Canis lupus familiaris: one gene and its partners. The protein of the gene in region 1 binds, or shares a complex with, the protein of each later gene. Links are inferred from orthologs where the notes say so. Each region holds a gene or a part of one and is shown in the gene's direction. Other genes may lie near its edges.

Evidence for each region.
Region 2: EPC1 (region 1) and VPS72 share a complex: the UniProt entries of both Homo sapiens proteins name them as parts of the nuA4-related complex. The link is inferred for Canis lupus familiaris from reciprocal best matches to the Homo sapiens genes EPC1 and VPS72.
Region 3: EPC1 (region 1) and KAT5 share a complex: the UniProt entries of both Homo sapiens proteins name them as parts of the nuA4 histone acetyltransferase complex. The link is inferred for Canis lupus familiaris from reciprocal best matches to the Homo sapiens genes EPC1 and KAT5.

Annotation. Positions count from the first base shown.
Region 1 is NC_049223.1:12,483,914-12,487,567, forward strand, and holds part of EPC1 (enhancer of polycomb homolog 1), read left to right. Parts: intron 1-806; coding exon 807-966; intron 967-1,997; coding exon 1,998-2,174; intron 2,175-2,266; coding exon 2,267-2,356; intron 2,357-2,446; coding exon 2,447-2,595; intron 2,596-3,654. UniProt on the Homo sapiens protein: Component of the NuA4 histone acetyltransferase (HAT) complex, a multiprotein complex involved in transcriptional activation of select genes principally by acetylation of nucleosomal histones H4 and H2A.
Region 2 is NC_049238.1:60,907,333-60,911,023, reverse strand, and holds the start of VPS72 (vacuolar protein sorting-associated protein 72 homolog), read left to right. Parts: upstream 1-778; 5' UTR 779-851; coding exon 852-968; intron 969-3,691. UniProt on the Homo sapiens protein: Deposition-and-exchange histone chaperone specific for H2AZ1, specifically chaperones H2AZ1 and deposits it into nucleosomes.
Region 3 is NC_049239.1:52,003,336-52,006,138, reverse strand, and holds part of KAT5 (histone acetyltransferase KAT5), read left to right. Parts: intron 1-17; coding exon 18-107; intron 108-1,479; coding exon 1,480-1,620; intron 1,621-1,698; coding exon 1,699-1,792; intron 1,793-2,567; exon of another isoform or gene 2,568-2,803. UniProt on the Homo sapiens protein: Catalytic subunit of the NuA4 histone acetyltransferase complex, a multiprotein complex involved in transcriptional activation of select genes principally by acetylation of nucleosomal histones H2A and H4.

The DNA of each region.
Region 1 (3,654 bases):
TTAACCCTAGAAATACCATCCTTTAATAATAAGTAGAGATTATTAAATGTGTGATATGATATACTTTGCATAATTTTACATCTGTTCCTCTCTTTATTTTCTTTAAAAGTGACAGACAGGGCTCGGTAAAATTAAAATATGCCAGGTATAATCTTATTCTTTTGTCCTTATTTGAGTTTGAGTGCAATGTTGGGAGGGAGAGAATATTTGTCAGTTATAAAGTTTTTCATTTACTCACCAGATGGTACTGATTTTTTTTTTTTTTTAAACACCTACTGGGTTTTTTAACAGAAGTATAAAGAAGGGAGGGGAAGAGGCCCATAATTTTAACACTCAACGATTTGGCACAAGATACACAATGAAAACTTCAAGCCTCACTTCCCTATTTCCTAGTCACTATCTCCAAAGAAAACCACTATTAAATTTCTCATAATTCATCTAAGGAAAATTAGTTTTATATAGTACAGGCAATTCAAATTAGCAGAAAGTTCTTCACCATTTTAGGCATTAATTTCAATATCTCCACCAAATCTTTCACCAAAATTGGTAAGTTAAAATTTGAACCTTTGTTTTTTTCCCCACAGTTATCTATTTATGGTGCAAAGGTAAAGCTATAAGCCAAAAAGTAACGGAAGAAACCGAAGGAATCATGTAATCTTCATTTTAAATTAGCATTCAGCAAGTAATCAAAGTTTAATATTGCCTTCAGTCTACTCAGTGTCTATAATCGTATCTCAGGCTTTAATAGTCCTAAATATTTACAGAACTAACTTTAATTTTTGCAGCTTTCTTTTCTATAATTTCAGGTATAATTTGGGTGACTATAATGGAGAGATCGTGTCTGAGGTTATGGCCCAGAGACAGCCAATGAAACCTACTTATGCCATCCCCATCATCCCGATCACTAATAGCAGTCAGTTTAAACATCAGGAAGCAATGGATGTGAAGGAATTCAAAGCAAATAAGGTGATAAAAATTTTTATGATAATAGTAGCTGGTAATAGAATGTTGTTTTATCATTAGAGTGAAAAAGAAAAATACATATAAACCCTACCATGAACTATGCTGCAAAGTCCGCTTTTGATTCAAGACTAACCTGTTAATACAACAGTAGGAATAGTAAAGAGAGATACTGTATAGATGAACTCTTTAAGAATTAACTTTTCCCCCAAAAAACTGTAATGCCATAAACTACATAAAACTTGATACAGACATTTAGTATCTGTACACAGCCATGATACTTGCCGTGATCTTTTTCTTTCCAACAGGTATTTTTACCTGTAACCTTTCTTACCTGTCATACACTTCATACTTTAATTAGCCTTTGCTCTTACCTGCACACATATTTCTAACGTGCACTATCAGCTCAATCACTCTTGCTTCTGTATTTTATCCTTGTGTTGTCCCTGTTTAATGATTTCATCTCTGTATCATCTAAAACTGCCTAGATTCACTCCAGAAAGCCTTTGTTGTTTAGCTGCCAAATCTTTACTTCCCTTTATTTTTGTGACACCTACATATTAGGAGTTATCTGAGGTGCTTTGTGTGTGTATAAGATTAAGATTGTTTGCTTTATTATTTTCCCAAAATGGATTTGTTAACTCTTTAGAATAAAGACTAGGACCTCCCCCCACCCCCCGCCCTTTTTATTTTCTCCTAGAATTTTCATAGAAAATTTAGGAAAAGGTACAGGAACCAATGATAAATACTAACTGTAGTTACAGGATTTCAGAAGCTGAAGAACCTCTCTTCTTTTACTTTAAATGAAACAAAATATTTTATGAGATGATGTTTAGGTTGTAAGAACATGTCAATGTTTCACAGAAACCAACCTGTAATACTTTACAATATAAGATGACAAAACATAGGCGTCTTAGATCTCTTCTGAGTGCGAATGACTTCATTATAGCTCTAATCCTGTTTTTAAAGCATACCCCAAACTGCAGGTTTGTTGAACATGGTTTCTAGTGTTTGATTAACATACGACTTTATTGCAGCAAGATAAAGCCGATCTTATCCGACCTAAACGTAAATATGAAAAGAAGCCCAAAGTCTTACCATCGTCTGCTGCTGCTACTCCTCAACAGACGAGTCCTGCTGCACTGCCCGTCTTTAATGCTAAAGATTTAAATCAGTATGACTTTCCCAGCTCAGATGAAGAACCTCTCTCCCAGGTAAAGATAAAAATTTCTCTATGAGCATAGAGGAGAAGGAAGGAGTGACATAGGAAGTCACATGTTTTGACCCACTTCATTTTATTTTAAAGGTCTTGTCTGGCTCTTCGGAAGCTGAAGAAGAAAATGATCCTGATGGTCCTTTTGCTTTCCGTAGGAAAGCAGGCTGTCAGTACTATGCTGTAAGTTTCAGGTTCTCTTTTTTAAATAATAAGTTGTTTGCCTTTAACTGACAAAATAAAATAATTTTTTTGTTTGTTTTTTGTTTTTAGCCTCACTTAGACCAAACTGGCAACTGGCCTTGGACTAGTCCTAAAGATGGAGGATTAGGGGATGTACGATATAGATACTGCTTAACCACCCTCACTGTACCCCAGAGGTGTATTGGATTTACACGAAGACGGGTTGGGCGTGGTGGAAGGTAACTATTTCTGTATTCCTAGCATAGGTACAGTAGGGACAAAGACAGTAGGGTAATCAAATCTAGAGCTTTAGAGAGGGAATCCTTCTAAATAGCTCATTTGTTTCCATTTTCTGTTCTTAAATGATTTTTTTGACTAAAATACTAAAAGAGATTACAAAAAGTTGTTTCAGAAGTTCTGGCACATATTAGAAGAAAGGACTGAATAGGCTAAGAAATGTCATGTAATTAGTACACTAGGTTGTTTAACTTCTCAGTGAAAACACTCTAGAAGGGGTCCCTGGGTGGCTCACTGGGTTAAGCATCTGACTCTGGGTTTCAGCTCAGGTCATAAGATTGAGCCCTGTCCCTCTGCCCCTCCCCCTGCTCATGTGCACTCATTCTCTCTCTCTCTGTCTCTCAAATGAATGAATGAATGAATGAATGAATAAAATATTTTTTTAAAAAGGCTCCAGGATCCATGCATGGTCTGACGTTGACACCCAGTTTTTCAGGATCTAATCACTCTTTTGTTTAAACATGATAGTACCCCCTGTACACTCTAGATGCCTTGTGTGAGAATTTGTGTGGGAGGCAGGAAGGAATTACAGAACACATAAAAGTGAAGAAAAAGAAAGATAATCCTGTATAGGTAGGGGAAAAAAGGCAGAACATAGTATCAAGGTGCTTTCAGGAAGAAACCTGAGGATGTAGAGGGTTTTTTTTGTTTGTTTCTTAAAGATTTTATTTACTTATTCATGAGAGAGAGAGAGAAAGAGGCAGAGACACAGGCAAAGGAAAAAGCAGTCTCCCCAAAAGGAGCCCAGTGTGGGACTCGATCCCACATAGATCCCGGGATCATGTCCTGAGCCAAAGGCAGACACTCAACTGCTAAGCCACTCAGGCATCCCAGGATGTAGTTTTTAATGAATGCTTTATACGTATGTTTCTTTCATTTTCAAGTCTTAATTGCAGTTTTTAATTACTTTAGAATTGTCTGGACACTGAAATTATTTATTTTATTTAGTGCTTTCCCCCCAGTCATTACATTGATATCAATAGTAGCCAAAATTCCATGTC
Region 2 (3,691 bases), on another chromosome or scaffold:
CTGTTCTGTCCCCAAGAATCCTGTACTTTAACCTGTAGATGCCAGGGAGCCATTAAACATCTTTTTTTTTAATTTTTATTTATTAATGATAGAGAGAGAGAGAGAGAGGCAGAGACACAGGCAGAGGGAGAAGCAGGCTCCATGCAACGGGAGCCCGATGTGGGATTCGATCCCAGGTCTCCAAGATCGCACCCTGGGCCAAAGGCAGGCGCTAACCTGCTGCGCCACCCAGGGATCCCCATTAAAGATCTTTGAGCAGAAGACTGACAAAGTCTGTTTTTTAAGAAAGGTTCATCACTAAAAGCAGAGTGGAAAACGGACTGGAGCAGAGGGAGACTGACCTCTTCTAAGTGAACATTTGTTGACTCTCAAATTCTGGACTTAGGGTAGTGGGGCTGCTGGCGTCACCCGGTAATCATTCTGCAGTCCAGATCAGCGCGAGCTAGGGGAGGGAGCTTGGGGGTCGTCTCCACGCCGCTCCCCCCCCCCCCCCGTGGGCGGGGCTGCAGGGTAAAGAAGCGGTTTAGCGCCGCCTGCAGCCCAGGGCGTGATCCTGGAGACCCTGAATCGAGTCCCACATCGGGCTCTCTCTGTATGATGCCTGCTTCTCCTCTGCCTGTGTCTCTGCCTCTCTCTCTCTCGGTCTCTATGAATAAATAAATAAAATCTTAAAAAACAAAAGAAGAAGAAGAAGGCTTGACAGACGGGCCTAGAAGCGTCTCGACGCTCTCCTACTTCTGCCTGTGGACGAAGGGCTTCCGCCGCCGCCCGCCGCCGCAGGTAGTTGTGTCGAGCGCCGATACCGCGCTGGGTGAGGGGCCGCTGGTGGCGGCGCAGTCTCGGTAGGCAGTATGAGTTTGGCCGGTGGCCGGGCCCCCCGGAAGACCGCGGGGAACCGGCTTTCTGGGCTCCTGGAAGCCGAGGAGGAAGATGAGTTCTACCAGACGACTTACGGGGGTTTCACAGAGGCAAGAGTCGGGCCCAGGAAGAGGGAGGGGAGGAAGCTACTAGGAGTCCTGAACGGAGAAACGTCGGACAAAGAAGGGGGCGGGGAATGGATAGAATCAGCCCTGGGAGTGATATTCGAGAGCGGGTGGGAGAGTCCTGGATGGGGTTGGAGGGCTCAGGGATGAGGGGCTCTCCGAGGCACCCCAGACCATGGAAGAAACCAAGCGTATACTTCTCGGGTTGCGTGTTTCACTTCTGACGTCTAACGTACTCGAGCTCCTCGTAGTCACGCAGTATGGACTCTGGCCTACTGCTTGGTTATCCACCTGAAGGTAGAAAAGGATCTCTTCACAAAATACAGGAGCTCAGCCTACTTTTTTCACCTTTCAAATCTCAACGTCAATGTCTCCTTAGTTAATCCTTCCCTAACTGCTCTAAAAAGTGGTCCATTTATTTCCTTCATATAATATATTTCGAATTGCAATTAGATTTGGTTTGCCTACTTGTTTATACTTTTCTATTAGATTGTAAGCTCTGTCAGGTTAGAGATGGTCTGTTTTGTCCAGCAGTATACGTCCAGTGCCTGGTCCATTCTCTGGATTGGACCGGCACTGGTGCTGATTGAATCTGTCCATTCTTAAAATATCTGTTGAAGGGATCCCTGGGTGGCGCAGCGGTTTGGCGCCTGCCTTTGGCCCAGGGCGCGATCCTGGAGACCCGGGATCGAATCCCACATCGGGCTCCCGGTGCATGGAGCCTGCTTCTCCCTCTGCCTGTGTCTCTGCCCCTCTCTCTCTGTGACTATCATAAATAAATAAAAAATTTAAAAAAATATCTGTTGAAGAGCTAGGGCAAGCCAACCACTGTGGTAAGTTCTAGGGAAGCGTAAAGTATTGAAAACACCACTTTGTTACTCGTATTCCAGACCCCAGTGGGGGGAACCAGCTGGATTAACAGCTGAAATACTTTGTGATAAGGAGGGGAAAAAAATGGTAAGCTAGGGTGCTGTGGTAATATACGGGAGCCAGAGTTATTGGTTAGGATTGGCCTCCCTGGAGGACATGATGTTTAAGCTTACTACAGTATGAAAAGTAGGCCTTGACTCAGTGAACAGCAGTAGGGCTGGGAGCAGGATAAGGAGAAACGGTGTGTGTGTGGAGGGGTGGGGGGGATGCAGAATGTGTAAAGGTACTGAGTCTGTGTGGTACATGCAGGCCTACTCTCCTTTCTCCAAACCTTGAAGGAGAATAAAATTGATAAGGTTGGAGGGAGTGGACATAGGCCAAATCATGTTGGGCCTTATGAACCATGTTGAGGGGTTTTGCTCTTTTTCTAGACGACTGAGAAGATTCATCAAAGTACCATGATCAGATTTGTATTTTAGAAAGCTCACTCTGTAATGAGGAGAATGGTTTGAAGGAGGCAGTGGGAGTAGAGAAACATGGGCAATAGTTTCAAGACAAATTAAGGACATTGAATCCATAGGACTTGAATCCACAGGACTTGATTGGGAGTCATTACTTACACAGTAGACCAACTATAGTTTAAAATAGAATGTTCTCATCCCTCCCCCAAAGGCCATTTTCCTATTCCTGTCATTTTACGAGTCGTTATTTAATATGTACCCTTCATGCTTCCAAAAAGGATTAAAGGAGGCTTACAATATAAACAAAAAGTAGGAACTGTAAAAATAGAGACAGATCAGAAGTAATTGTACCAGGAACCTCTGCTAAAATAGTAATAGCAATTTATATTAAATTTAGCGGGGCGCCTGGGTGGTTCAGTGGTTAAGCATCTGCCTTTGGCTCAGGGCGTGATCCCAAAGTCCCGGGATCGAGTCCCACATCAGGATCCTTGTATGGAGCCTGTTTCTCCCTCTGCCTGTGTCTCTGCCTCTCTCTCTCTCTCTCTCTCTCTCTCTCTCTCTCTGTCTCTCATGAATAAATAAATAAAATATTTTAATAAATAAATAAATAATAAATTTAGCTGTGAGCTTCCTGGCAGCCAAGCCCTGAATTTCTTTTTTCAGTAAGAAAGAGGCATATACATTCTTTAAGAGAGAAAAATTTATTCAGCATTAAGTCCTAGGAAGAAGTGCACTTCTACATAAAATTATAAAGTAATGGGTTCACTAGATGATGTAGAAACATTCACTTACCTAGTCATGCCTATTAATGACCCTTGATAAAAGCCAAAGGTATGGTAGTAAATCCCTAACTTAGTGAAAGCATCTTGATTGGACGGACACTAAGCTAATGTGCAGTTCAATGACTACTCTCTGGTGCGATGACTTAATACCTGGTTAGAGCTGAGGGGATTAATGTGTTCCCAGGCAGTCTTTCACAAGCATCAGTTGGGAGGAAATGATGGCCATCGGTGCAAGTTTGAACTCTGGCTAGCTTGGCATGTCAGCTGTCTGTGCTGTTTGCTTGCTTTGGCAGCATGTGTACCAGGATTAGCCTGTTGGTCTACATCCCTGACTGAAGAGAGAGCCACATGTTTGAGGTGCCACCCTGCCCAGTTTTTGACTCCCTCGCCCTTAAGTGTGTTTTTCCCTTTACTTTCCTATGTGGCTGCCATTCTAGTCCTAACCTGTAACCCCTCAATTCTAGGGTGTACTCCACGTTCTCTACTCCACTCAGCTAACAACTTCCAGAGCTTTCTGAAACAGCCCTGGTATATAGTTTTCCTTCCTCCCTAAATCTTCATTGGCTCTCCATTATACATATTACAAGAACTCAGT
Region 3 (2,803 bases), on another chromosome or scaffold:
CCTCCTCTCTTCCTCAGACCAAGTGTGACCTGCGACACCCCCCAGGCAATGAGATTTACCGCAAGGGTACCATCTCTTTCTTTGAGATTGATGGACGGAAGAACAAGGTCTGTGGCTGAGGGGCAGTGGGGAGTCATTGGCACTGGTGGTCTGGGGGAAGTTAAACGAGCAGCTTTTTCCTGCTCAGGAAAATACTAGGCAGTCTGGCCAACAGATTAGCTCATTCCATTTTTATTGAGTTTCTGCTGTGAGGTAGTTAGTGGGAGGTATAAAGATGACCAGTAATTAGAATCTTTGAGTTCACAGTTCATGGCAAAAACAGATCTGCCAACATCCACTCAGATCCCAGGGATAAGTGTCATGAAACAAAGGATGGGTTATCAGGACCCAGAGGTAGCCAGCAGTTTCACATAGGAGATGATCTTTGATCCTTAACATGAAGGATAAGATAGGTAAGGGAAGCCCAAGGAGTGGGGTTCTGAAGGGCAGTCGTGGATGTACAGATGGTGGGAAAGGTAAAGATCATTCTGGCTGAGAAGCAGAGAGGATGAGGCAAGGCTGTTCCAAGATACAGAGCTCAGGTGGGGAGAAGGTGGCCAGTTGGGGGAGGAGTAGGGGTCACTGCAGGTTTTGGGCTTCAAACCTGCCTTAGTCTGTGGGAAGGAAGAAGGGAGTAATCTGGACCGTTAAGACTGTGGGACCATTCCTGGGGCAAAGAGGGGGCAGTAAGGGAGAAGCAGGGCATCTTGAATTACAGGGTAGAGCTCTGGCCTGGGTGCTGAGGAAGCTCAAGGGAAGGAGGCTGCTTTCACTACTGTTCTGTGTGGACTTGGGCATCCTGATGGCCCAGCATCTGGCTAAAAAGTCATGCCTCATATGCAGAAAATGTGTATAGAGGTAAAGCAAAGCAGCAAGATGAATCCTTTTGGTGGGGAGACCCCTAAGGCAGTTACTTTCAGTTTCAGAACACCTGATCTCCATTGTAGGTTAGGAGATCAGTCTCCAGTATGTGTGACTGGAGGCGGGAGAGTTTTGTGGTTTTTATTTTTTATTTTTTTTTATTTTTATTTTTTTAGTTTTGTGGTTTTTAAAAGGTAGATTCCTAAGACTGTCACCAGGGTAGAGGTCCTCTCCTAAGCCTTGGCAGTGTCTTTCTAGACATGCCACAACCTACTGACTTTTGTTACTGCAGCAGAGAGCAGTGGAAACCCCCCAGACAAGACTTAGGGGGAGGTATGGGGAACAGGGGTAAACTTGCCCAGCTCACCAGCAAGACAGGAGGTCAGACACTATCACAGAGCTGGTACATGGGCTCCTTGACTCTGAGAATTAGCTCTGCCTGAGTAGGAGGGACAGCCTAATAGAACGGGTCAGGTGCCAGGGAGGAAGACTCATCATCTATCAGCCCTGGGTAAAGAAACCAAATGACCACATTTAAGACAGGGTACCCAGAGTGGTGACACGCCTTTTCCTTTGCAGAGTTATTCCCAGAACCTGTGTCTTTTGGCCAAGTGTTTCCTCGACCACAAGACATTGTACTATGATACAGATCCCTTCCTCTTCTATGTCATGACAGAGTATGATTGCAAGGGCTTCCACATCGTCGGCTACTTCTCCAAGGTGAGTGCTCATCCAGATCATCTCTTGGCCCTGCCCTGAGCTGTGTCCCCTCCTCACTCACCTTCCTCCCCTTTCCAGGAAAAGGAATCCACAGAAGACTACAATGTGGCCTGCATCCTGACCCTGCCTCCCTACCAGCGCCGGGGCTACGGCAAGCTGCTGATCGAGTTCAGTGAGTAGTACCTTTGCTCCCGGCCAGGGGCCCCGGGGTGGGTACATGCGGGCCCAGGCTCAGTGCCAGTGCTGCCATTGTGCCTCCCTTGTAGACAAGCTAGGTTGCTATGATTGTTAACCCTGCTGTCACCAGGGTAGCTGGCCAGAAATAAAGGTGGGACTCTCCCAAGGCTTTCTCCATTCTCAGGGCAACTACCCTGCTTGTCTGGGCTAGGTTTTCAGCTCCTCACTCTTCCTTGGGTGAGGTTCTAAGCACCACCCAACTTTTCACAAATCTGACTCATATGCTCCCATCCAGGGAGCCATCAGCAGAAACCAGGTGAGCCACTGTTGCTCATCTGCCTGGTTCTGTGCCACCATAGAAATTCCTAAGTGAGGACCAGTGCTTCATATGCCACCATACAAATTCCTGAGTGAGGACCAGTGCTTCATTATCCCAGCTGTAACCTGAGCCTTGCAGATAGTGGATGCTCAAAATGCTAAAGTGATGTTAACTCAGCAAAAATAAGGAAGCACTGATTTGTGTGGATTTGGTCTCTGCTCCTTGGATTCAGGCAGGTCAGTCTCTTAAAGCCCACAAGGGACTCTGCCCCTCATCATCCGTGAACTCTTCTATGTCCCCCACCCGCAAGGCCCCCTTTTGCTTCCCAGCATCTTACATCACTCCACTCAACTCACCACTCACTGAACCCTTGGGATAGTTAAGTTCTGACCTGAGAGACAGGAGGGAGCCTTAGCTGTTTGGTGAAGTCACAGTGGCTTGACTTGATAAGGTCATGATCCATTTGAGTTATTTTATTAATAGAATGATGCCAAGATGGGGTCACATTCTCAGGAAGCCCTCAGCCTGATATGTGGGCGGATACTTAAAATGAATCCAAGCCTTGAAGCTCAGACCTCCATGGAGATAGGATGTGGGCAAGGACACCAATGTGATGTGCTCACTTCTGCCCAGCAGGAGCAGACAGGTGCACTGGGAGTGCCCATTCCGGGCAGTTCTTGAGGGCAG